Linked DNA regions of Struthio camelus. The protein of the gene in region 1 interacts with the protein of each later gene in a biochemical or structural test. Links are inferred from orthologs where the notes say so. Each region holds a gene or a part of one and is shown in the gene's direction. Other genes may lie near its edges.

What was found. The genes of interacting proteins can lie anywhere in the genome.
Region 2: the proteins of ANGPT1 (region 1) and TIE1 interact in a biophysical measurement, tested with the Homo sapiens proteins (2 studies listed by BioGRID and IntAct, with this or other methods). The link is inferred for Struthio camelus from reciprocal best matches to the Homo sapiens genes ANGPT1 and TIE1.

Annotation. Positions count from the first base shown.
Region 1 is NC_090943.1:143,118,661-143,129,469, forward strand, and holds the start of ANGPT1 (angiopoietin-1), read left to right. Parts: upstream 1-5,919; 5' UTR 5,920-6,530; coding exon 6,531-6,827; intron 6,828-7,603; exon of another isoform or gene 7,604-7,717; intron 7,718-9,350; exon of another isoform or gene 9,351-9,520; intron 9,521-10,809. UniProt on the Homo sapiens protein: Binds and activates TEK/TIE2 receptor by inducing its dimerization and tyrosine phosphorylation.
Region 2 is NC_090949.1:25,358,701-25,368,547, forward strand, and holds the start of TIE1 (tyrosine-protein kinase receptor Tie-1), read left to right. Parts: upstream 1-5,137; 5' UTR 5,138-5,866; coding exon 5,867-5,912; intron 5,913-6,099; exon of another isoform or gene 6,100-6,305; intron 6,306-6,576; coding exon 6,577-6,864; intron 6,865-9,847. UniProt on the Homo sapiens protein: Transmembrane tyrosine-protein kinase that may modulate TEK/TIE2 activity and contribute to the regulation of angiogenesis.

The DNA of each region.
Region 1 (10,809 bases):
ACTTCCTGATACAGGAGACAGAGAAGCCAATGAGGAAAGATGCTCTGCAAGGCCTCATACTTACAAATGAGGAAGTGCAGATTAGGGATATAAAGGTTGGAAACAACCTTGGCTGTAGTGACCTTGAGATGGTGGATTTCAGGATCCTGAGAGGAGGCTGCAGGGCAAAGAGCAGGATCACAACCCTGGACTTCAGGAGATCAGACTTTGGCCTCTTCAGGGGCCTGTTTGGAAGAATCCCATGGGATTAGGTCCTAGAAGGAAGAGAGATTTAAGAAAGCTGGTTGATATTCAAGGATCACCTCCTTCAAGGTCAAAAATGGTCCATCCCAATGAGAAAGAAGTTGAGCAAAGGGAGCAGGAGACCTGTTGCATGGATAGACAAGGAGTCCCTAGCAAAACTCAGACATAAGGAGAAAGTGTACAGAAGGTAGAAGCAAGGACAGGTAACCTGGGAGGAATATAGGGATGTTGTCAGAGTATGCAAGGATGGGCTAGGAAGTCTGAGACTCATCTGGAATTTAATTTGGCAAAGGATGTCAAGGACAACAAGGAGGGTTTCTATAAAAACATCAGTAAATAAAGAAAGACTAGGCGAGATGTGAATGCTGAATGGAGCAGGGGCCCTAGTGACAAAAGATGCAGAAAATGCAGAGATACTGAATGCTTTGTTTGCTTCAGTCTTTACTGCTAAGATCAGCCCTCAGGAATCCCAGACCATGGAAACAAGAGAGAAAGTTTGGAGAAAGGAAGACTTTCCCTTGGTAGAGAAGGATTGGGTTAGGGATCACTTAGGCAAACTGGACACACACAAGTCCGTGGATCCTAATGGGATACACCCATAATTGCTGAAGGAGCTGACGGATGTCATCACTAGGCCACTCTCAATCATCTTTGAAAGGTCATGGTGATCAGGAGAGATGCCTGAGGACTGGAAGAAAATAAATGTTCCAGCCTTCAAAAAGGACAAGAAGGAGGAGCCAGGAAACTACAGGTCAGTCAACGTCTCTTCGATCCCTGGAAAGGGGATGGAACATCCTTAACACCATCTCCAAGCACATCAAGCATAAGAAGATGATCAGGAGTAGTCAGCATGGACTCATAAAAGGGAAATCATGTTTAGCCTATCTGATAGCCTTCTGTGGTGGGACAACTGGCTGGGTAGATGAGGGCAGAGCAGTGGATGTTGTCTACCTGGACTTCAGCAAGGCTTTTGACACTGTCTCCCAACACATCCTCACATGAAAGCTGATGAAGTAGGGGCTAGATGAGTGGACAGTGAGGTGGATTGAGAACTGGCTGAATGGCAGGGCTCAGAGCATTGTGATAAGTGCGGCAAGGTCCCGTTGGAGGCCTGTAGCTAGTGGTGTCCCTCAGGGGTCAGTACTGGGTCCAGTCTTGTTCAATGTATTCATCAGTGACTTAGATGAAGGGATAGAGTGCACCCTTAGCAAGTTTGCTGATGATCCAAAACTGGGAGGAGTGGCTGAGACAGCAGAAGGCTGTGCTGCCATTTAGAGGGACCTGGACAGGCTGGAGAGATGGGCAGAGGAACCTCATGAACTTCAACAAAGGCAAGTGCAGGGCGTTGCACCTAGGGAGGAATAACCCCAGGCACCAGTACAGAGAAGACCCTGGGAGCCCTGGTGGACAGCAGGTTGATCATGAGGCAGCAATGCGCCCTTGTGGCCAAGAAGGCCAAGGGTATCCTGGGGTGCGTTACAAAGAATGTTGCCGACAAGTCGAGGGAGGTGATCCTCCCCCTCTACTCAGCCCTGGTGAGGCTACATCTGGAGTACTGTGTCCAGTTCTGGGCTCCCCAGTACAAGAGAGGCATGGAGCTCCTGGAGCAAGTCCAGAGAAGGGCTGCTAAGATGATGAAGAGACTGGAGCATCTCTCATGTGAGGAAAGGCTGAGAGAGCTGGGCCTGTTCAGCCTGGAGAAGAGCAGACCGAAGGGGCATCTGACCAATGTGTATCTGAAGGGACAGTATCGAGACGATGGAGCCAGACTCTTCTCAGTGGTGCCCAGCGATAGGATGAGAGGCAACAGGCCCAAACTGAAACACAGGCAGTTCTGTCTGAGCATGAGGAAAAACTGCTTTCCTGTGAGGGTGACTGAGTGCTGGCACAGGCTGGTCAGAGAGGTTGTGGAGTTTCCATCCCTGGAGATGTTCAGAAGCCATCTGGATAGGGTCCTGGGCACTACGCTCTAGGTGACCCTGCTTAAGCAGAGGGGTAGGGCAAGATGATCTCCTGAGGATCCTTCCAGTCTCAACTGTTCTGTGATTAAGAATGAAAAATACTGCACCTTCCTGTAAGCTTTGATTTAGCTGGAGATAACCCCTACTACAAAAAGCCTATTTCTTTTCTCTGTTAGGAGCCATTCTATAGTGAATTTCGTTATACATTGAGGAAGTTGAATTGGAGTAACTCCAGTTACAGTGTGTGATATTATGCAACTTTAATGTAACTCGTCTGCAGCAATAGCACATATTGCAGCAGAAATGTAAAGAAACAGAAATAGATTTTTGTTTTCTTGAATTTGTTTGAACTCCAAGCATGTTTATGATTCTGTGACAAAAGGCATTATTTTTCTGCTAAATACATAGGAAATGATATTATATGAATGTAAGCTTTATCTAGATATTTAATTCCAATTTCTTTTGCCTTGTAGCACTGATTACATAGTCAACTATAGAATTTTATGTGGGTACTAAATAAACAATGTAGCTGAGACTTCATATGGTCGGGGAAGGAAGCCTCCGGATCCATCCCTTCCCTCTTACATAGAAGGAAAAGTTCAGGGAATATGAAGCTAGTCATTGTGTTGGAGGAAGTGGTCTTAGGAAAATAAAGAGGTTTTTAAATACATCCATGCCCCTACATGGTTTTTGGCTCTGCAACTGATTTTTCTCTGCAATTCTGGATAAATCATTTAGGTTACATCTATACCATGTAATGTAGCATCCTGCAGAAATATCCACATTGACTCTGACTGAATTTTGAGGACTTTTTTTTCTCCCTTCACTGAGAATTTCACTTCTTAAAATGTTGGGACAGGTCACATAGATCAAGTGGGACTGTGTTAATACACTGTATTTTTTTCAGTTCAGGTAGAAAACACCAAACCATTGAAACTCGTGGGTCAAGTTTTTTTTATTTTCTATTTCTTTTAAGAAATAAATACAGCATATGTCTCAGTAGGAATGGGAAAAATGACAAGTCTTCTCATTTCTGCATTCTATCTTCCTTAGGTAGAACAGAATTTCTTAGGAAATTGTATTATGGAATTAAATGCCTGCAGAGCTGGAAACATGCTCTTTTCTGTGTTTGCTTTTGCACTTTTCTCCTCTGGGTATGCATGGCACCATGAATATATTAGGGAAGAATATAAACTGAACCTGAAGTGACTGGTTCAAAGTCCCTGTAAAAATGAACTTGCTAAGTATTTGGAGGAACATCAGGTTGAGTGGCTGACCTTGACGGTCCCCCTGTGTTGCAGGATCAAGAGCGGCCAAGTGTCTGTGCTTCTAGTAAGGGACGCTCAGGGCCTGGTATAAGCAAGGGCAGCCCTGAGAGCTCACTGTGCTTCAGTGTAGCCCGCAGGACTGCCACCATGTCAGTGGTCACTGAGAGTCATCGTATCCCAAAACTGAAGTGCATCCCAGTGCAATTCATGAGTGCTCTTATCTACCTCTCCTGTGATTAAAAAGACTGCAAACTGGAGGTGACATGATGGCTCTGGGTGTTTCCCCCAACCTCCCTTCATCCTCCCCTCTGTGTGAGACTCCACAGGTTCAGGCACACGAGACGACGCAGGCATGCTACGTCCTGTAACACAGACATGGCACTGTTAGCTCACTGAACGAGCGAGGGGACTTGATTCTCTCTAGTAGGGAAGATTTTAGTGCAGTGTCCTAACAGGTGACGCTCTGGCTGCTGCGTGGCTCTGCTGCGTCTTTGCACTCTGGCATCTCACCGATATGTGCTGCCCGTCACCCATCACCCTGGGGCTGGGATCGGGAGGAGTCTGCTATGGGAGGCAGGTGGTGTGGCAGTGAGCTAGGCAGGAGATATGTGAGAAATGCCAAAGAGGCTTGCCAATTCTGTGCATCTACTTGAAGGGCCTTATGGCTGTTACCCCTTAGCAAGAAGGGGACAGGAGGGGAAGGTAGAGAAGTGTGCTTTAAGCCATGCAATAGCAACAAAGCACGCCTGCTGCTGCATGAAGTCTCTTCTCATCTGAAAAACCCTGTAAGTTTACCCTCTCACATTCCCAAGTTTTCATGGGAGTAAAAGTCTGTAGCTTAAATACTCATCAGAAAGTGAATGCAGGACTTGTGTAAACAGCAGCATTTTAAAATATGATTTAATCTTCTAGGAAGCCTTTTGTACACTCACCTTTACCATCCCCCTTTTGCTGCTTTGAGGTCCTTTGATAAAGTTCTCTTTTTGCTTTTAAAAAGGCATGGATTGTTATCACTTTTGTGCTCCGACAATTTTACTTCTCCTTATACAGAATGACTGTTTTTATGCTCACCCCTCAGCTCAGCGTCCGATCTGAGTTTTCTCCCTCAAAGATCAAAGCTTTCTGATCTTATGGTATGAGCAAATATCTTGCAAATACATTTCGCAATAATTGCAGAGACAGTGCAATAAACCACAGCAGAGCTAGATCTGTTGACGATGGAGCAATGTGAAAAATGCTTGCAATACAGTGAGCTCTATGAAGTTGATATTCAGAGGGAGAAAAAGAAAAGCCAGAGTGCAAAGGTGGGCTGAGCAATTCAGAGGTAGAAGGATGTTCTGATTTTGTTAAAATCAACGGTAGCATTGGTGTTTCGCTGTTTGCTTTGCTTTCTTGTTGCTTGCCTTTTTTCACTATATATTGGACAAACAGACATTTTAAAACAAGCTAAGACCCTCTCATTTCTCTACATTTTTGCAGGGGATATTTGTTCATGATTCAAAGGGAATGGTTTCTTTTCAGGTGCCCGACGAAAGCCTCAGCACCCAGTTTTGAGTAGGAATAGCTTATTCAGGAGCAGGGCAGACTCCTGGCTGAAAATTCCAGGCAGTTCTTTTAGATTGAAATTGTAGTTCTAAAATTATAATAATAAAATATATATACATAATAATGACAATTGCATGAGCACTGAGGTGCTTGCACTCAGTATTCTTGCAGGTAGACTGCCCAGACTACCTACACTCATGAGCAAAATTGTGCAAAGTGGTCTGCAAAGGAGTTGGCTGGTATTTGTGTAACAATAGCAAATCCTAGAGCAGGAACTCAGCACCAAATTTCTCTGAAGTTTAGGATTATTCTGATCCTGTTTCTAATCTATGCATTCTAGTTTGATCTCAAGCAAATACCAAAGGCATTATTTCTGTTTAAGATAGTTTCCTAAATATTTACCACAATCCTTTTCTGAGGAAGTTACCCCTGAGAAAGTTTTCATATATAATAAGGGGTGACTGTGTAGCCTGTCCCGACTTGCACATTGGTAGAAGTGTTTCACATGTGATAATTATACAGTCCATAGGACAATCTGGAGTAGTTCAACCAGCATACCTCACAGTTTTGTAACTAGTTACCTTATTTTACTAGCCAAACATAGAATATTATTATCCTTCTGAACTGCTATTTCTCATTATTATTTGGCAACCTTCATTTCATTAAATCCTGTGAAAAGCTGTCTGCAAACTCTGCTAAAGTAACACAAATGTCTGAGAAAAGTAGCAAAAGTATGTGAGGGTTAAATGTAACTTTTTTCTCATAAGTGTCATTCTTCTGATTTAGAATTCTTTAATAGACACTGAGCAGTGGAGAACTGAAAGTATTTTTAATTTCAGTGCTTTGTATATTTACAGAAGGATTACAACAAACTTCTACACTTTATCTACATTTTAATAGGTCAGTGTGAACATATGAAGTGTATTAAGGTGGACTGCCCAACTTATTAAACTTGCGTGAATTCGTCAAAAGCCCTTAGCAGTTGTGTGCAACAGGGGCTGGAAAGCCATGCATGATTGAGGTCATGCATCCAGCCAGTTTGTAAGATGATCCCTCTGTACCGAGCCATCAGCCATCCTTAGCATAGGGGCGCACTCATACACGCATTCCTGTCAAGTCATCTTGTGAAAGGCTGCTTGCTTCCAGCTTGGCTTGAATGTGCAACCTTAATAAAACTCACTGAAGTCTGAGAGAAAATAGCAGTTCTGCAGCAGATAGTGTAGGGGAAAGAGACTGGGATATGCATATGCAGCTGACTAAAGCAGGCTACATGCTGGACTGTAACAGAGAGGAAACAATAAATCTTAGCTACTATGCAATAAATATTCCCAATTTTAACTAAGGAAGCTATCCTAATATTGAAATCAAAAATATAACAATTTATCCAAGCTTGATTACTAAAGTACAATTCTCCAGTCCTTTCCCCAAAGACTTTAAAGGAAATTAAGAACAAATTTAAAGAAAGAGGAAGAAAAAAGTTTTTCTAAAATTAGTAAAGGAAAGTAATAATAACATGACAATTTTCCTTTCCTTTGCTTTCTTGGCTGCTCTTCTGGCTCATATGGGCTGTAGTAATCAACGTCGGGGTCCAGAAGCCAGTGGGAGAAGATATAACCGGATTCAGCATGGGCAGTGCACCTATACTTTCATTCTACCAGAACAGGACGGCAACTGTCGTGAAAGCACGACAGACCAGTACAACACAAACGCTCTTCAGAGAGATGCTCCTCACGTGGAACAGGATTTCTCTTCCCAGAAACTGCAACATTTGGAACATGTGATGGAAAATTACACTCAGTGGCTGCAAAAAGTAAGTGCTTCTTTTTCCACTTCTCACAAATGGATATTTTTTGGTGGTGCTTATGCTGTTTGTAGTTTTCATGAGTTTCTGTGAGAAATGAGATACTAAGGATTTCTCTAGTTCATAACTCTGCAGGGTGAGAAATCTTACAGCCAGAGTGCACCCTTCGTAGTGAGATTACTCTTGGGAGCAGAATTTTCTTCACATTACTGGAAGATGCAATTTTGTAAAGCTTTATCTCAAGAGACCACGGATGTTTTGTGAGCCAGAGTATACAAAAATCCATCAGAGACTCTAACGAAGGAACACTTTATTAGCTAGTCTTGTAAACTTGGTTTATGCTTCAGAGCTTCAGATCAGATGTCTTGCAGCATACCTGCTGCTCTGACAGCAAAAAGGTATATGTAAAAAAATCAACATTTAAAGGCACTATATTGAGACTATTATTACTATCTCCATAAATAGATCTTGTAATCCTATTCCATCCAGCTAATCACTGGAAAGACAGATAAAAGTATATAAGCATTCACATTCTTAAATCATCACAGTAATTTTTTTAAATGTGTGGATTACACTGGACTTGAAAATAGTGTTATAGTAACTTAGCAGAAGTAATTCTTTTCAAGAATTTGTGCTATAGCTGTAAACTTTCACTGAACTGTTCAGTTCTTTATGTATGAGCTGAAGCTTGGGCATGGAAAGACTTAAATATGTGAATAACTTTTACTCATATCAGCACTTCCATTTACGTTAATAAGATTACTCACTTGAGTAAAATTACTTACCTTGCTGGATCTTGTCCATGGTTTGATATTGAGAATGGTTTGAGAGAGATGACAAGTAAAATTAGGTCTTTTTATATGATTGTAATATTCCTGTTCTCACCTTGGCATTATGACCTGGCGAAACAGAAAACTGAGCAATTAATGATGCAATTAATCATGTAAGATGGCACAAGAAAACCATCGTATGTACCTATTCAAGAGAAACATCATTTAACTGTAATGCAAGATTATATGAAGAATGAATATCAATAAAAATGCTAGTAAAGACTACTAAAACTTCATATTAGCATATTTATTGCTACCTATCTCATTTACAATTTTCATTTCCTGTGACAGAAATATGTTAAAAAGCATAAACAACCACCGCTACCCTTCTAACCATATTAAAACCTTTGCAGAGAATTTCCTGATCTCCCGATAAATTAATTGTACTCTTTGCATATATAGTCCTAGAAAGAGAGAGATGACTGTATCTAATAAACATGTGACTATAAACCAAAATATAGCTGAGCATTTCTTTTTCAGACTATTTTCCTCAGTTTTTAATATTGTGGTCTGCTTTGGGGAATACAAGGCTGGAACTGAGGGGATGTCTTTACTTGTAAGGGAGAGGATTTCTTAAGAAATAATTTTACTGCACCTTGGGAGTTTAAGGCAAGGACTGAGAAGAGGAAAATTGTTATCTGTGTTTATGCACACATGATTTTACTTGAGCAAATTGCCTGCTGAATCATGCTTATGAGACTTTACTTATTCTATGTTTGTCCACTAGAGACTGAACTAAGATCACTGTTTCACCGCGAACTGAACAAGAAGAAAAATGAGTCTCTAGAGTGTGAATGTCTGAGCTAGGGCTAGTCCTCTCACGCTTCAGAGGGAAGTGATTAAACAGGTAGGAAGCCCAAGGAAAGGATTTTATATCCGAGGACTGTTCTCTTCTTCAATGACTGTAAAACCGGCTATGGGCAGGACCATCCCCCCCACTCCCCCGCTGCCCTTCCCAGCCCCCAGCCCTCTGCTGCCCTAGGTTTACACGAAGCCAGGGTTGCGCACGTATGCCCATATGTCAGTCCTCCTCAGAATGAAAGGACCCGTTTCTCTGTGTGAGGGAGTACAGCTCCCTGGGAACAAATGAGTCCGATGCAGCTCCATTATAGCATCTCTGAATGCTGAATTTGCTTTGTCGCTGTTGCCATTACAAAGCGTTTCAGCCATAACTCATTTCCTTTCATAAGAAGCATAATGCTTTAGTGTAATGAATACATTGTGTAGACATCTCACATCTCATTTTACACTGCATTTGTTTTTCCCCTCGACTTTTAATACAGGATATAAATACTGCTTCACCAGGCAAAATTTTACAATGCACCTGCTGTGAACAAAACAAAGAATTCTTAATGACTATAGGTCTGTAATCAGAAGTGAATAGTTATAATAAAGTTTGTATTTCAGAATTCAAGATATATTGTAACCTTCGTAGAAGAAATATGCTTATTAGTCTATGTAATACATATAACTCTCATTATAATTGTACATTGGCAATGTTTACCAGAGACTCTTATTTTCTTAGCGCAAATGCAGCCTGCAGTATCGGAAGGGTATTTATTAAGAAAGTTTGTATAAGGTATTATATACTTAAGAAATCGTGTAATATTTTAAGTTAGAAGATGCTTTTCCTTGATTTCTAAATTAGTAGATTTCTCGAGGCAAAATAGGTATTCCTTAAGAGAAAAGGAAATTCTTTTACCCTCAGCAACAAAAGTGCTTCTTTGATGACCTAGTAGCTTGATTGTAGATAAAAGTGTGCTTGCTTGGGGAGCTGATTACAGGCAATTAAGTGGCAGCCTTGTCCAATAGCATTTGCATATCTATAGTCAGCGTCGCTGGGATTGGCTGGCAAACCACAGACACGGCAAAATGCTCTGCTCAGAAACTGCTTGGAAGAAGATGACTTGGTAAACATTTTCAGTGATTTTCCTAGAACTGTTTATTTTAATACCGGATAACTTTCTCCATTGTTTAAGCTTGGGTTTCATTTCTGCAATATGTTTATACTAATAGTTCAAAACAAACAGTTCATCACATTTTGTTTCTTGCTGTAACCGACTGGCACACGTGATACTGTTTGGTATTTAATTGCAGTGTCTAAGTGTTGCCAAAGAGGAGTTACATGAAATGTTATCATCATGTCTTGCTCGGGAACTTTCTGTTAGTCAGCTGCGTGAACTTAAGATATTGGTGGTCTCAGTATACATTCAGAATGGCAATAGAGATGCGTTTATTTCATGTATTTATCCTTCAGTCAAAATAATACTAATAATAGTTGTAAGTAAGTGAGTTTGGCATGATCTACTCACTCTTTTTCCTGATCCTTACCTAAACAGAATACCACGAAAGCTGAAAGCGAATACTTGATAATAATGTTATAAGTTGCTAACATTGACATACAGCCTTGACTGGAAAGTGAACCACAATCATTCTGGTCAGCCAGTATCCAAACTTAGATTTTTTTGCTTTTCCCTGCAAATATTGGTTACACTACTTAAAACCAAATAAGGGAGCTTCAGCTCTCGTTGCTTATACTTCAAATTGTTTGTGCTGTCACCAGCTTATAAGGGAAGAAGTAGACAATGCTGCAAACTGTGGCTTTTGAAAAGACAAGTATACATTTGCTCGCTGATCTGGCTCCATCTACAGTCTGCTCCTTTCTTCACCAGCAATGCCTAGCACTACAATCAAATGCTAATATGCTCATGTGCCCGGAGCGGCTGGATTTTGCCTTGGGCTCTATGTGTGTTGCTGAAGAAGTTGAGAAAATTCCTTATATGTCACTCTTGCTTTGAAGCTGTGAGCTGAAACGAGACAGTGTCTAACGCAAGGAGGGCAAGGTCTAAAAACTGGCACGATATCCTCTAATGCGTATTTATATTAATGTAAGGATAGAGGTGGCCATAATGAACAGCGTAATATTTTGTCACATTAAAAAACCAATATCTCCTATTTAAAATATTACAAGAAAGAGTAATAACTCCATTGTATTTATGGTTATGTTTCACTAGGCACTTTTAAACGTAATGCGTGATATAAAGCCCACATATTTAGGTGTTAAGTGCAACAAAAAGATGTCCGTGATGAACTCCTGTTAATTTCCACAAATAAAAACAGGTCATTAGATTTGGAATCTACCATTCTGATTATATGAGCAT
Region 2 (9,847 bases), on another chromosome or scaffold:
CCGCCAGCGCCCGTGCTGCCTCGCGGGGCTGCGCCCAGAGGCCAGTGCCACGGGGTGAAAGGTGGCGGGGCCGGTTACACATTAACCGCCTCGGCTCCCCGCTGCCGCCCAGCCCGGGGAGGCGCGTGCCGGGCCCCCATGGCGGCGGCAGCGGCGGCAGCGCCCCGCGCGCCGGCCCCGGAGGTGCGGGAGGCGGCTGCGGTGGGTTTCACCGGCCGGCCGGCGCAGCCCCCCCAAGCGCCGGCGGCCCCTCGGCTCGGCACGGCACGGGCCTGGGATTGCAGGGGACTGATAAGAAAATAAGAGGGCTGAAAGGTGTTTAAAAAAGGCAGCAAGCTGGCAGGTCCCTGCGCCCGGCAGTGCCTCTGTGGAGTTGGCTTTCTGGCATGGATGAATCACTAATAAAAGCGTTATTTCTCGGAGCAGCTTCCACGGCTCCCCCGGGGATCCCAGGGGATTGGGGACCCCCCCCAGCCCCCAGCACCCCCGGCCCAGAGCCACCACAAACCACGCAACCATCCCGTGGAGTCAGTGACATTCAGAGAAATTATTTCAAGGAAACGTCTTTGCTGCAGGAGCTGGCATCGTGGCGCACGCCTTGGCTGGACATGCTCCCGCGCCCGGGCTCGCGGGGGGCCGAGGAGAGGGCGAGAGCTGGAGGAGGCCGGTGCCGGTCGGGTCCCGCGCGTCTGGCGCGAGGTGGCTACGCACCACCAGGTGGAGAGCCAGCGCTGAACGATACCAGGGCCAGTCTCCCGCCGTCAGGACACTAGCAAGAGCCTCCTGGCACCCACAAAATGCCAGGCACGGGAGAGTGCTGGCAGCGCCCTGCTCCCGGGTCGCCGGAGTGCTCCTCCTCCCCGGCAGCGGCAGGAAGCCGGCTGCTTACAACAAATCTTCGTTTCTGCAGTTTCCAGTCGGGCGACGGCTGGGGCAGGGAGGCCCCACTTCCCCCTGGCTGCCAAGGGGCTCCTCCGCGGCCGCGGGTCCCCACCCTTTCCTCGGGAAAAGTGTTTCCCAGCTCGTCCTTGCTCCTGCAAACGTGTGACGAATGCAAACACAGACAGGCGCCCTGCCTGCTCCTGCTGCGGCTGGCCTTCTCCACCCTCTTCCCGAAATGCTCTGCCAAGGCAGCCCGGCGGACTGGGGACTGGGGATGCCGGGCCGCGGAGCAGATGCCTGCCCGTGACATGCTGTCCCCGCTCCAGGGCTGCTCCTAGCCTGGCGGCTGCAGCTTTTAGCACTGCGTTGCAGGGCCTTCCCTGGCCTATGTCCCAGAGACCTGCACCCGCCTAAAGCAACGGGAGCGATTCCTGCTCGTTCTCAGCAGCAGCCTCCCCAAGGGCGTGTTTCCATTTATATGTGTGGACCCCGCTCCTGTTGTACAAGACTGGCACCATGGACATAAAACTAAACAAATGGCCAGAAAAGTAGGACTAGAAAGTGTTGCTGATGCATCCTGTAGGTGAGTTAACAGGGTGTTTGCATTTCCTATCAGGAAATGTATCAGGGCATGTGATACCTTGGACTAGAATGGGTAAATGACACCGAAAAGGGTTATTTTTGTCACTAATTCTTTTACTTCATCATGAGTCAGCAAAAAAGTTTGGGTCTGTTAGTTCTGCAGAAAAAGCATTCAGTTGTGTGAGGTTTGTGCTATGGGTCGGGTAAATGGAGCTTTCCATATCAGCGGAGAGGAGAGCAGGTGTGGTGGGCTGCTTCAGCTGGGCATAGCTAACCCAGGACCACTGATTTTCTGGAGCAACATCAGGTTAAACTGGAGCTGTGGGATCCTGACTGAGTCTCCCCATGGACCCCCAAAGAAGTTTCCTACCCTACCTCTAACCCAAGGGATTCGCACAAATAGAAACCTCTTACCTAGGTCTTTCTAGAAAAAAAGCAACCGGACAAATCAGACTGTGTCTGATCCCTCGACAGATCCCTTAGATTTTCTGGACATCACCTGGTATGGACAACTGATGGCTAAATGGATCCACTTCCCCAAAAGATCAAAGCAATGCCCTGGATCCATTTCCTGGAACCATAGACATGCTTTGCTCTTTGGAGGAGCATACTGCAAGGCCCATGGTTGCAAAGCCTTCCAATAAAGCTTGTTTGTGCCATGTAGATAAACCCTTCATCCAAATGATTTTTCATGTCAGATGACACTTTACAATATATGTCGTAAATTATTGTTTTATTAGTACTGCTGCATTGTCAAGTGATCGCAGAATGTGAGCCTGTGCTCCCATTATTTATCTAGCTGCAATATGTGTAAGTACACGATAGCACAATGGTAATTATAGTACCAAGTGTGACTGACCTCTACAGTTCGTGAACAATGGGATGGTGGAAAGAAGCCATTTATTTATGTGTTTATGTATCTATCCACCTTCCTGCAGCTGTACCGAATGTATGGATGAGTCCCTGACCCAAAGAACTTGCAAATGAGCTTTGGATTTGACAGGCAAATAAGGACATGGCAGTTCATGGGAATGCGGAGGGACTGGAGAATACAGATTATAAGAGGAACAGGTTTTGGTTGCCCAGCCTGTGCGTGTCCATCTCAGTGACATCCTCACTTCTGGAAACACATTGATTTGTTTAAATTATAGTTGAGCCTCAAATGCTCCGTGGGTCCCCAAAGATGGAGCCCCTACGCATACCCACCCAAATATCAACCAGGAAAGCAACATGACTAGTTTTCCAGACAAATGTGGGCAGCTACAACCCAGTGTCCATCTTTTTTGCAGTCTCTCCATCTCTTTGTCTCAGGCTGGCTGCAGTGTTTGTGTTCATGGGAGTGTGTGGGAGCAGCCTGTGCCAGGGTGAAGAGTCAGCAGTGGTGTGGCAGAGTCCCTGTCTGCTCTAATCACTCCACACTCTTCAGGGGCACTGTACGTCCCTGGAGTGCACTGTAAATAGTCGGAAACAATGAATGGATTTCCCTTTCCTGTCCATGTGTTCTTTAGATTTTCGACCGGATACTGCATGGGCTCTGGACACACCAAAACATAAGGCTTGTTCCCCAGCAGTCCTGGTTTTCACATGGGAACACTTCAGGGCACTGTTTGTGAAACAACATGAAGTTTAGCAGGTGAAGATTATGGTGATTTCACCAGGAATACCTTAAATATTGTCAGATTAACCTCAGGTGCACAGAGCCCTCTTTGAGGTCACCCTTGTCTCACTGGAGAGCCCAGTACAGTCTGGGACGCTGCACGCGTGTCCGCAGGGCAGCGTAGCAGGCCCGCGAGCCTTGCTGAGCGGCAGCTGTGTGCACGCTTGTGTGTGGCGGGCTGTGCACGGTGCGCAATGAGCAGGGGGCCAGGTTGCAGCAAAGCATGCCACGTGTGCTGGGATGTTGCCTGTGGGCCTCGGAGGTTCCCGGGTGTAACCCAAGGACAGGCCATTTGTGAAATGGGAAAGGGAGAGGCAGGCTGGAAAACAGTCAAGGAAAGCTGGGCTTTCTACTGCTTTCAGCTTCCCCCCAGACATGTTTACTGCGCTGCAGAGGCTTTTGTTCTCTGATGGCCACTCCCGCCCTCCAGTTCAGGCCAGCCAGCTTTGTCTTGTGCTGCGAATGCTCTAGCTCGCATTTGGCCACTTTCAAACCAGACAGCCTCTGCTGACAGATTGGCTTTGGGATCTCTTCCCTGCATTATTCCAGACACCACTTTTGGGCGTAATTTGGCTGATTCATCCTTCAGGGGAAGCCACTGGTGCAAGGGGGCTTGTGCCCCTGCGCAGTCTCCCACAAGTGTGGACCCAGCCCAGGACAAGTCCAAGCGCTCCTGGTGCGTGCTGCCACCCCAACCCCTTCCCCACGCCTCTCTCCAGGAGGCCAAGGTCCTGCACATTCTCAGGGATGCCAACGGAGCTGTGTGTCCCACGTGCAATGTGCCTTTCCCTGCTGGTCAGTCCGGATGCTTAGATTGCTCACGTGCCCCCAGGAGATCCCTTGACAGGTAGCTCGAGGGAGAGAACGCTGCAAGGAGCCCATCATCCAGATTTCTCCAAAACAACTATTGACTAGGCCTCAGTGGGATCCTTCTTCACTCCCTGTAGATCCTGCCAGAGCTGCAGGGGTGAGGGGCACCACCCTGAGCCCGTGAGCTGGCCCCTCTCCTCCCCTTCCTATCAGCAGTGTTCCCAAGTTGTGTGGCATGGTGGGATGTCGCTGAGGTTGGTGGAGCTCTGTGCATCTGCCATATACACTGTACTGGCAAAATCTGATATGGTGGGAGCTCTGCGCAGTCACATGGAAATGTGAGGGAAGGTGGGAAGGGAAGGACATGAGCAGGAGCAGTGTTAGGAGTTTCTTGTACTACTTGGTAACATTTCTACTAGCAATGGGAACGTGACACAGAGGGGCTGTCCCTTCACTTAGGAAGGCAGCACTCAGTATGAGTTAGGACTGAGAGCAATTTTTAAGCCTCTCAGAGAAGCTCCAGCATACCCAGGACTGCCCTTGTCAGGGTGTCCTCAGCACCACTGGCCTCTTCCCTGTACTGCAGGAGCTGGGGGACAGTGTCACCCTCTTGTTACAGGCCCAGCCATGGTGAAGCTTTTTTTCTTCAAGGCTTGTGAGCAGAAAACTCTCACTGGCTCCAGCTGAGTTCAAGCACTGAAAACTGCAGCCCAGGACTACAGCCATGCAGAGAGTCTCTGGGTAGAGCTGTAGACTGAATCCCCTGAGCCTTTGTGGTTAAGCCTGCCTCTGTACCAGCTCTGAATTGCCATGCCAGTCAATGTGCTTTATGCGCTACTTACAGACAGCCTCTGCAACCTTGCTCCTGTGAGGGGTCTTTTCCTGACCTTCAGTCATATCACTGGACCTTCTTCCAGTTTTTCAGGCTCCATTTTAAATCAGGGCTGAAGTGCTGGTTTATGTGGGCTCTGGGCTGAATCTGTGGATTCATGTCTTGGCAGCCTGGCTCATAGCAGGAGGAGGCCAAGGCTTCAGGGGCTTGCCGGACGGACAGTGTTATGAAACAGGTAAGGACTGAGCGTCTCTGCCTGCCGCTCTCCAGGGAAGAGGCTTTGCAGGGCAGCTCCCGCCACGCGGCGAGGCGCTCCCGTCTCCGGGAGTCAGGGCCATGTCAGAACAATGGGTGGAGAGCAGGAAACGCTGCATGGGAAACAGGATTTCACTCCACTGCCGCCAGCCGCGGCCCCTTGGCCTCCTTCCTTTCCCTTGCTGAGCCTGCTCAAGAGAGCTCTTCCCACAGCTGTCGGTCTCCCTGGCTCCCCAGTGCCTCTCTCGCACCAGCCATCCCGACGGGTGGCGGGAGTGTGCTGAGGGGCTGAGGATGCTGCTGTGCAAATGGGCTCAAGCGTGAGATCTTCTCCTTGTGGGCGAGGAAGGGGGCTGAGACGCCTCCCTACCAGGCTGGGGGAGTCAGCATGGCGCTGGGTGCCTTGAATACACAGCTGTGACTCCTCCAGGAACGAGGTCCCTTCTCCTTGACAGATCAGCAGCTTGGTGGCCTCTTTACCACAAAGTCCTACTTGCGCCGTTCTCTTCCCATTGCCACCTGGGCTGTCTGCGCCGATCCCTGGAGCCTGCTGAGATCCTGGCAGAAGCCGAGCAGGGCACTGGGCACAGTGCTGTTCTTAGGCGGGGAATGGGGAGTCTCTTCCTCGCTGTGCCTGCAATATGAACACCAGGACGGCCTCCCAGCTCCTCCAGACCTTGGGCAGCGGTGAGAAGGCAAGATGGGAGCCACGGACAGAGAGCAAGGGCCCTGAGCCATCCCTCATGGGGAGCGGATAGGGAGCAGCAGCCCTCCAGCTCCTTCTCTTGCTGCTGGGGCATATCTGGGATTTTCTAACCTGTGCCAGGTTCAGGACACATTTCAAGGACATGGGACTCCAAGTTTATCTTCTACTTCTCCTCCCATGGCTGACAGGTAAATTCTTCTCCCTCTTCCCTTCTGCTCCCAGGGAACCAGCCCCTTCCCCAGGGAAGCTTTGTGGGACTAGAGAATCGAGGGCAATCGGCGGTGCTGGGGGTGGGGATGGAGCAGGGTTTGTTCTTTCCAGAGCTGCTTGTGAGCACAGATAGGCTTGGAGGAAGGAAGCATCCCTGTCTTATAGGGAATTTGGATATCTTCTCAGAGCCTGACAGTGAGGGGACCTAATCTCAGGGCTGAGCTGCCCTCTCCCACCTGTTTTTCCCCTGGTACGGGGCTAGCAGCATGACCAACTCACAGGAGGAAAGGCCAGTGGGAAGAGGAGCCCTAGGACCTCCCGTCCTGCTTTGGCTGCATGCTGGGCTCGTGTGGGTGCTCCAGGGCATTAAGGTAGGAGCTCCCCCAAAAGAGACTAGAAATCCCCACCCTGCTGTCCAGATGGGCTCTGTACCAACCTGGGGACAGGGAGAGAGGCTGTGCCCCGGCATGGCTCTGGAGCTGTGCAGGGGGCAAGAAGGCCTGGGGAGGAGGGGTTTACATCTGAGGTATGGGGTTTGTCATGATGACTGACCCTGATGCAGGGCTGGGATGGCCGGTGCTCTCGTCTGGCATGCAAAGACCAGGCCGCGGCTCATGACGTGCTTTTGTGCTCCCATCCTAGGGGCCATCCTGGACATCACCCTAATTGCCAACGTGCAGAGCCTGTCTCACTCTGACTTCTTCCTCTCCTGCGTCATGGGCGAGCGCGACGTGAGTTACCTGCAGATCGAGAGGGACAACAAAATTGTGATGACACACCCCAAGACGGGCTTCCAAAACTACCACAACCGCAGCAATCATGTCCAGGCCAGGGGCTTCTCCATGCCTGACCTGGTGGGGATCCTCTACTGCCTGGGGCGCACACAGACAGAGCAGGCCCAGGTGGTCTATGTGCACAACAGCCACAATGGTGAGTTGGCTGGGGGCTCCTGGGGTGCTGGCATGTCCCCCCCTGGGAGCTCCTCCACAGGCAAGCTGGAGACTGCATGTGAAGCCTGCAGTTACAGGCTTCTTCCCCCACCCTCTGAGCTTTGCAGTTCTGGTGCAACTGAGGAAGGTGTTATGGTGGGACAGTGGTGACCTACTCTTTGAAGCCAGATTTGGGGTCTACTGGCACTGGAAGGCCAACAGGCCTGTGCTCAGTGGGTAGCCACCACCTTGCCATGGCACCTGTGGCACTTGAGCGGGAGGGGCATGGGAGAGGTGATTGACCACCACTGGGGCTTGACTCATCCAAGCACCAGTCACGAGCAGCATGCATTTATCTCAGTTAAATGTTTGTATGGTGCTGTAGATTAACTTGTGACGTGCAGGAGATGACACCTAGTCCAATAAATAGCTTTTGCGACCTCCCAAAAATATGGGATTACTGTGATTTTCAGCTGAGGAGTATGGCTGAACTCCAAGGGCGTTTCATGTCTTCCACCAGAGTTGTGGGTCACCTCTCTCAAGGAGGTTTGCCAGGAAGGGCAACAGTCACATTGTAGGCAGCTGGCTGAGATGGGAATTGTGCCCAGGATCAAGCCAAGGTCCAAGTAACAGGAAGTCAGACGGCTCTGGAGGAGGGTGTCTCTGGTAGCGCGGTTTGAAAATCATTAACCAGGAAGAGATTAGCCCATCACAGAGTAGTGCTTCCAGCCTCGTGCCGGGAGGACCGCGAAGGGGCTGACTCTGCCCAGCACCATGCCTATGAATGGAAACATTGCAGTAGCAGGTGCCGAGGAGCCTGCAGGATCAGAGTGAAGAAAAGCTGCTGAGGGGACTCTCAACTGCATATTTGGGATCGTAACTGGCTCTTTGAAGGGGGCATGTGGGACAAGCTGTGCTGTGGCTCCCGGGAAGCATGAGAGTGCACAAAGCAGCTTCTTGTGGGGAGGTACACCTCCTTTCAGTCTCCTTGAGGATAAGGTTGTGCCCTCTGGATCTGAACGTGTGCTTTGGCAAGCTCAGGGCTGCCAAGCTCCTTGCAGCAGCAGGACTTCGCGGCCTCCTGCGATGGCGAAAGGCATTGCCAAGGGCTTGCAGGCAGTCAAGGGCAACGCTGAATGCTGGGCTCTTGCCTTCGTGCTCCATCTCCTATTTAGTGCCTTGTAAGCCCAAAGGGCATCCCTGGGCTAGGCCACAGTGGGGGTAACGTCCAGGCTTAACATTGTCTGACACGGCCCCCTGTAACCTCCCTTCTTCAGGTGCTCGAGACTGCAAAACTATGACTATCAGGACTGAAATTTTCTGTAATAGGTAATTGCCTTAGGATGCTTTCTGGGTCCTTTTTAGAAAGTTTCAGCTAAAACAGTCCCCCTTTTACTGAGAATGAAATGAGGAGACTACATATTCCCTTCCCTCTATTAAAACACAATTGTACTATAATTTTTTGAGCAGCTCTAATATTTCCAAGCTGTGGAACAGAGATTGCGATAAGGAACAGGCCTCTGGGGTCCACACATCCTCCAAAAAGTAGTGACTGGGACTGTGTCCTTGGCCAGAAGTTTGACCTGAAAATGGCAGCAGTCATATCGGAAACGGAGACGACTAGTCTGGACAAACAGAGCGCCAAAGAGGCGCCAGCAGAGGACAAACAGAGTCGGGGGATATGCTAATACCAAACAAAAGCAAATAGGAAAGACTGAGTCTGCTGTGATGTTCAAAGAGTAGTGCTGTATGTTAAAGAAAGGCTGAAATGGAAACTAACTGTATCAACAAGCGACAGAGGATGCCTTTCTGCGGGATTTCCCTGTCTCTTGCCAGGACAACACAGGTAGAGCACGGCGGTAGGGCTGTCCACGGGCCACAGGGGTTTGGCAGGGTCAGGAGCATGGCAGAGGGCTTCACGCCCCTGTACATCCCAGGTGCAAGTCACAGAGGGAGATGAGAGCTTTAGGGTCACATAGCCTGGTGGTGAGAGGGAGCTGCTCCGTGCCAGCCCCCGGATCACCACCGGGACCTGATTCACAATACCGCTTCCCACGAGCTGCTCACTGAGACTCCCTCTTACGTGCCTGGGCTCAAAACCCCTGTGGGAGTAACAAGAGCCAAAGAAGTTACCATTGGTCTGTTTAATTTAGAGAAGGAGAAGTAACTAAAAATGAGGAAGATTGCTGAAAGGAAAAGGTAACTAAAAATATTAGATCTTTGCAGGGGGAGTGAGGGCTATGTAAGGAAACCATCTTGGAGGTTCAAGTGCATGTCACCTCTCATTCAAAGGCTAAGAAAGCACACAAGTGTGTGTGAATCACTAAGCAGCCGGTAGGAAAAATTGCTAGAAGCAAGCTGATATCTTCCAAAGTGTTGTGTTGTGCACAAATGAAAAAAATAAAAATAAAAAAAAGAAAATAGGAAGGATCCTAAACTTTGGAAGGTTTCATGCAAAAAAAAAAAACAAAAAAAACAAAAAAGAACGTAAGAGGCAATTTAGGAAGGGTTTAAAATTGGCAATACAACATTTTTCAAAATCTCAGGGACAGAAAGTCTCCCAGATAGGCCACTGCAGAAAAGCGATTTTTTTTTTTTTTTTTTGCGTCTATGTACACCATAGAGAAGTTTGTGGAAATTCCCACAATGAAACCTTAATTTATAGGGAACTTGTCAGAAAATCTGTCTCAAAGTGCTGACAGAGGAGGACATGGAATAAATAGCCAAAATGAGCAATACCATGTTGCCAGGACGGTGTTGCAATGAAAAGTACCATATTGTTAAATTGCTGACTGTGGTGTGTGACCTCTTTCTTAAAATTGCCTTGGTGCCAGAGGACTGACTGCAAGGTTGCAAGTCTGATGCCAGCTACTTTACAAGAGTTTCTAGGTAGGGAATTACAGGTTTGTAAACGTAAATCTCGACCGGACAATCAATAGAAACTGTAATAAAGAGCAGAATTAGTAGGCACATGACACCCTGAG